Linked DNA regions of Mus musculus: region 1 is reported to be linked to region 2. The links are microRNA targets in miRTarBase. Many come from high-throughput screens and were not tested one by one. Region 2 holds a microRNA gene; the other region holds the end of a gene's coding sequence.

Region 1 (3,414 bases), not on the chromosome of region 2:
GTCATCTTTTTTTTTTTTTTTTTTTGCTACGCCATATTTTATAGCTATCTTGTTCTGGCTCTACAGTGAGTCCTGGGAATCCAAGGGCGACTTGCCCTTAAACTCCAAGTCTTGTTAGAGAGTATAGAGGAGACAAAACAAACAGTGGCAGTGTAGAACAGTCACCGTGAGGTCACACACACAATAAGCACTTCTAGGAAGCTTAGCCCAGCTTGGAGATAGGGCTGATCAGAAGAGGGAGAAGTCTGGAGAAGTCTCAGGGAACCCCGAGGAACAAGTGTATCTTGAGGATGAGACTGTGAGTGGTAAGCACTCAAGTTCAAAGCTAGTACTAGTGTGCACTCCATTGCTATGAGTGATTGTTTGGGGGTGGGTAGGGGTAATGGAGGAATGCTAAGTTCACACAATAGAAGGAAATTATTATTTTAGTACTCAGAAGACACAAAAATACTTGGAATCCTTCGAGTCTGAAATCATGAGAAAGAAACTATGCTGGGGTGATCACTTATAGGTGAATGGATCTCCTTGTGAGGTTGACAGGTGTAATGGCCTGTTTTGTTGAATGATTAGACGTGTAACTGAGCCGATTTGGAGGTTGGTATGGGCCAAGTTAGTGATTTTATTTACGTGTGGCAGGCCTGTTGGCTAAGGCAGCTACCCAGAGATTGCCTGTATTTCTCCCTCTACAGATAAAATCGCCACTAAGTTGTCTGACTCCATGATGTCCATGCTTGACCTCTCTGGCAACTCCGATGACTGTGCAGGTGACTGAGCAGCTGACCTTCCCCCTCATACTGCAAGTACTGCTTCCCGTGCGATGGGAGAGTCCAGATGCCTTTCCATTCTCCCTGATGTACTTAATAGGAGAACACCTCCATGTCATGTATCTTCTGCTGCCGTGCCCTCCATTCTTATCAAAGGTCTGGAGCTGCCAAACCCTACTACCCTCTACTTAATCCTTCCTGTCTTTGAAAATGACCTTGTGTTTGTTTTGTGGTGCCAGGGATTGAACATAATAGGTTCTCACAAATGTTAGACAACCATTCTATTACCAAGCTGTAGTATTACCATCATTACCATCCATCATTATCATTGGGGAGTCTGCTTACTCAACCTCCCAAGTACTGGGATTACAGGCTTTTGCCACCATTCCCAGCTCCCACTGTGTTTTCTAAGGTAAATAAAATCAGCAGACTCTTGGCATGGTGGCAACATATCTATAACCCTGACACTTGGGAGACTGGAGCTAGGAGGACTGTAAGTTATGGGCCAGCCTGAACTATCTGGCAAGACCCTTTCTCAACAAAACAGCCCAAAACAAATAAGCAGAGTCCAGCTGGGCATACACCTTTAATCCTAGCACTCTGGAGGCAGAGGCAGATGAATCTCGTGAGTTTCAGGCCAGCCTGGTCTACCGAGCAAGTTCCAGGATAGCCAGGGCTGCATAGAGAAACTCCGTCTCGAAAAGTGAACAATAAAACAACAAAAAGAATTTGTAATTATTTAAAAAGCAAATAAGCAGAGTCCAAGTGCTGACAATGTACCTTGGACTCTAAATTCCTGTGTCGTACCCTGTGAGTTAGGCTGATAAGGGTTAACCTTTTGGACAGGTAAATGTCCTAAAGGCTAGACTGCTGAGAAACCTGGTAGCAGTGGCGGGGGAGGTGGCGGTTGTCCCTGGATGGGTGATCCTTTTCATTTTTATCACCCTACAAGATCTCAGTGCCAAGGCTCTTGCCTGTGTATTTTCCAAATCAATAGCTAGCTCCTCATCTGGGTAGTGTAGGAGTAGAGAAGGATAGTGTGAGTCTCCTGTCTCTGGAAGTGTCTGGGGATAGTGTAGAGGATGACGATTCTAGAAAGGGTATACCTATCATAGTAAGTTGGAAAGCCATTGGCTGCAGGATGTTCAGGAAATGTAGACCGTACCTGTTTTCTGGACGGTTAGGGGCTGAGCACAAACTACTAAACAATGAGAAACAGTTACCACCTTTAACTTTCACTATATCCGTATCAGGAAGGGGTAAGGCTCAGAAAGCCGACAGAATGTGCTCATGTCAACAGTAAGTGGTGGTGTGCTAGATGTCAAACTTGAGTCTAATTTAAACCTTATGCTAGCCTTTTGGTTTGCATTATTTTGCCTTTTCAACAAGGGCACACCACTCTGGTATTTTCTGTTGTCATATATTTAAAATATATTTTCTCTACTCTGTTTTTTATTTTTATTTATTTATTTATTTTTTGGGTTTTTCGAGACAGGGTTTCTCTGTATAGTCTTGGCTGTCCTGGAACTCACTTTGTAGACCAGGCTGGCCTCGAACTCAGAAATCCGCCTACCTCTGCCTCCCAAGTGCTGGGATTAAAGGCGTGCGCCACCACCGCCCGGCTCTGTTTTTTAAAAAATGGTAGTATTTATTGAAAAACTATGCTTTCTAAGTCTCTTTAAATGATGTCCAACTTAATTCACTGATCTCATCTTAAGTTTTGCTAGACAATAATATATTAGAAATAAAAGTATCTAGATTCTTGGGAACATAATCATGTCAAAATAAAATAGAACTAAAACCAGGTGGGTGGCTCACACCAGTGCTCCAAGCACTAAGAATGCTGAAGCAGGAAGATGTCTGAAGCTGAGTCCAGCCTGGGCTGCAGAGTAAGAGGCAGTCTCAGGGCGAAACAAAATAATGTGGGACTTTAGATATTCTAACTCTAATGTATCTCAAGGTTGGGGGTAGCATGCGCACGCACGCACAGAGAGAGAGTTTCCCCCATATAACCCAGTGTGGTCCTGAACTTTTTAGGCCCCCCCCCCATTAGCTTTCCAAGTGCTGGGATTGCAGGTGTTTGCTTTCATGCCTGGATATTTCTTTGTTCTTAAAACAATTTCTTGGGTCTTTACTCTCCCCTTAAAAATCATTTTTATACAATAAATCTCATCCTTCATGGTTCTATGGTTCTGTAAGTTTAGACACCTTTTTTTTTTTTTTTTTTTTCCGAGACAGGGTTTCTCTGTGTAATCCTGGCTGTCCTGGAACTCACCAGGCTGGCCTCGAACTCAGAAATCCGCCTGCCTCTGCCTCCCAAGTGCTGGGATTAAAGGCGTGCGCCACCACGCCCGGTTATTTAGACACCTTTTAACAGGGGTGGCCTGCCATCATAATCAAGATAAGAGAATTTTGTGGCATTTCCCCAAACTTATTGTGTCCTCTTGTAGTATAGTCCTGCCCCCATCCTCAAATCCTAGCAGGCACAGACCTCTTTCCTGTTCCTTAATATAAGTGTCGTAAGTCACACGGGGGCTTATTTTATGGCATTAAGCTTTTAGCTTTTTCCTTTTAGATCTTACATTGAAGTTAGATGCAGTTGTATAAGCTCGGATAAATGGATAAAGCCGAGTAATCATTAATACAGGAC
Region 2 (3,414 bases):
TATAAGGAAATACTTTTACTACAATTGGATGCATGATTGTTGATTATTTACTACAGTTTTAATAAGTAGGAGAATGATTTGAAAATAAATAATGGTGAAAATTTGTGTAGGCCAAATTATCTGTATTAAACTGGAGAAAATACATTCTATTTTTATTTATTTCAAAACATGCCAAATCATGAAGTAATTACTATGCAGTATTATTTTTCACAATGAAGATATAATTAAGAAAAGCTAAATCATTTTAGATATGAGTGCAATGATTAACGATTGTACAACTTATAATTTTGCTTCAGATGAGCTTAGAATCCTAAAAATGTACATGTAACTGGCTTCATGTGTGCTTACTGGCTTGCTTTCTTACAGTGTAGTAGCTGACAGAATTAAGAATCATTTATTTCATTTCAACCTGTTGAACAGAGGAATTATATGTAGCTGTGTATTTTGTTGAAAGGATATAGTTCTTGGGAAATAGATTTAAATGTGTTTTGTTGAAAGGGAATGTATGCTCCTTGGTGTGATATAAGCGACTACAAATATTCCAGAATAGCAGGAATAACACCGATCATGTCATTGATTTTAGGGTTTTTTGATACCATATCTTTTCCTCACTGCTGTAAAAGTTTAATTTCATCCCCACTGTAGGCACATGTCTGTACATCTAGAATTTGTGGGTTTTGTGTTCTTTACCTAGTCAACAAGACCTCATTTGTTTATAAAAAGCTATAATGTGACTAAATCTCAAAAATCATTAACTGAGTTTTATGTGAATAAATACAGTCACTCTAGTGCATATACAGTTTAATAACTTCCTTTTTAGTTGTAGACTTATCATACTATATCTGTGCCTCACAACAGTATAATTCATATGTACATATATTAGGTTCTCAATTAGGACATTTTAACAACAACGTTAAAATATTCACAGTTTAAAACAAAAGCAATCTTTAAAAAAGAAAAAATCAAGAAGAAAAGAGAGAAGTAAGAAAAGAAGAAAGGGAGGGAGAAAGAAAGAAAGAAAGAAAGAAAGAAAGAAAGAAAGAAAGAAAGAAAGAAAGAAAAGGAAAGAAGGAAGGAAGGAGAGAAGAAAGAAAGAAAGAAAGAAAGAAAGAAAGAAAGAAAGAAAAGAAAAAGGAAGAAAGGAAGAAAAAAAAGAAAGAAAAGAAGGAAGGAAGGAAGAAAGGGAGAGAGAGAGGAAGGAAGGAAGGAAGAAAGGGAGAGAGAGAGGAAGGAAGGAAGGAAGGAAGGAAGGAAGGAAGGAAGGAAGGAAGGAAGGATGGATTTGAAAACTACTTTTTAATCCTCATGCTTGTAACCCTATATTTAAGTCAGTGTATTTCTGAAGACCTTTACTGGGAATATGCATTCTGAGAGTCCAGCCTTTAAAATATTTACACTAAGATATTAATTTTATTTTTATCCCCTACTTCTTCTGTTAGATATTCAGAGCAAATGCTACGTTAGTAAAAGGTCCCTGTGAGACGATGCCCATTGACATAAACCCGTAGATCCGATCTTGTGGTGAAGTGGACCGCGCAAGCTCGTTTCTATGGGTCTGTGGCAGTGTGGTGATCTGACAAAGCACTATGTAAGTGTTGCTCACTCACATCTCAATACACTCCTGCTCACACTCCAGTCCTCTACACAACCTCGGAACAATAGCATTTCCATTGTTCTTCATGGATCTTTTAATCCTCTCATGTCTTACAAGGCAAGTTTTAATTGTTGACTTTCTGGAAGGATTTGTAGCAGAGCCATTCAAGGCTAAATACAAGTGCAATAAACTGCTTTCAAAAGGTTGGTGTTTTTAAATAGCTGGCTTTGAGCAAACTCTGCATAGCTGTTGTCATGAAACTTTGGCACACTTTTTCTTGATGGTTAATGTGTCTTATCTATTTCAACAACATAGTAAAGTCTATAACTAGATTATTATGTTACAGTTGAGCCAGTTTCTCTTCAAAATCAAGGCATTATTCTACTTTTAAATTTGCTCGCTGCTAATGGAAGTGTGGTCAAGGAGATGTTAGAAGACACTTCATGTGACCTATACTGTAAACTCACCAGATTAGGGTAGTCCTGTAAGCTACAACTGAAGTTGATTTGTAAACTGCTAGAATATTCTATCTACAACCTTGCCAAGCCCTTAGGTGTTTGGCCGCCATATTTGGAGGAGCGGACTGAAGATATGATAAGGAGTTTGAAGAAACATTGGAAGCTGTGTGCATCCGGGTTGAGGTAGTAGGTTGTATGGTTTAGAGTTACACCCTGGGAGTTAACTGTACAACCTTCTAGCTTTCCTTGGAGCACACTTGAGCCATCGAGGAATTCTCCATCTCTTTAATCTGACTGAGCCAATTTCTGTTCAAGAAAGTAATGTGTCATGAGTCCATGAGGCCTTAATGCATTACCTGATCATTCCAGACCTGATGGTTAGGATTCTGCTTGTGTCTACTTGTAAGCAATGACACAACGCTATTTCTCACGGGCTGTTATTTTGTGTTTACCAGTCTAAAGAACAAATGGGTAGTGAATTAAGTTGCATTAATATTGAAACTTTGGTTTCTTTCATCAATGGAATCACAAAATTTGGCATTTTCAAATAGATTATTGGTCCTTTTTAATTTCATACTTAGACACTACAGAAAGATGTTTAAATGTTAATAAATTTCATCATATATTGTCTGAGTTTTCTCATGACCCATCACTTTCTATCTTATGTTATACCTATAGATATGTTTACTTATATTTTCCACACTAGACTGTAAGCCCCTTGAGGGCAAAGTACACGTCTTATTTTTATTGTATTCTTTTAGTACTTATACATCTTAAACAGTAAATTTTTACAGGATCAATAAATGAGCTATAAGATTTCACTCTGTTAAGATTTTTTAAATTTGAAATTCCTTTATTGACCCAATTAAATTTTCATAACCTTAAGTTCCAGACTCTTTCTGAGTCAGTAAAATATTGATTTTTTTTACTGTTTTGATTTATTCTATATATACAATTTGAAATTTGGGAATACTTTCTCTCTGGAGTAAAGAGTAGAATGAAGTTACTGCTTACTTCAGCATAGTCTCTAGTTTTAAATAATGCATATCTATGTTAACCATTTACATATCTTTTTTCCAGATAATGTGTTTTTCTTTTTAATAGCAATTTCAACTATAGGTTGCTTTAAAAGTCTCCAATAATTTTAAAACTCGGATTTTTACATTTTATGTGGTTTTCTTCTCGTCTATAATCTTTATTTTTCAAATAACTGATTTTTTTTTTTATGTTGTGAGCTCCACAAACAGGTCATGAAATATAATGATTACAAAAGGATGTAAAATGCAATTTTAAAATTTGGAAACATTTTTATTTAAAGGAAAGGCATATTATCTTAGCACGTAATAAAAGTAAATGAGACTT

Evidence for each region. The annotated mature microRNA mmu-let-7c-5p reads UGAGGUAGUAGGUUGUAUGGUU and lies in region 2 at 2,232-2,253, shown strand. An mRNA with a match to its seed (bases 2 to 7 or 8) in the 3' UTR can be bound and repressed. Matches are read on the target gene's strand: a 7mer-m8 pairs with bases 2 to 8, a 7mer-A1 pairs with bases 2 to 7 and ends in A, and an 8mer does both.
Region 1: the mRNA of Gnl3l is a reported target of mmu-let-7c-5p. Seed matches in the 3' UTR shown: 7mer-m8 at 2,334-2,340.

What each region holds. Positions count from the first base shown.
Region 1 is chrX:150,983,462-150,986,875 of GRCm38, reverse strand. Gnl3l (guanine nucleotide binding protein-like 3 (nucleolar)-like) reads left to right here. Exons shown (of 16, transcript NM_198110.2): 16 at 690-3,414. The coding sequence ends at 772. Among named protein-coding and RNA genes, the nearest start is that of Gnl3l, 32 kb to the left of the region's middle.
Region 2 is chr16:77,597,441-77,600,854 of GRCm38, forward strand. Mirlet7c-1 (microRNA let7c-1) reads left to right here and starts at 2,217; the gene lies at 2,217-2,310. It overlaps Mir99a (microRNA 99a), which reads left to right and starts at 1,496; the gene lies at 1,496-1,560.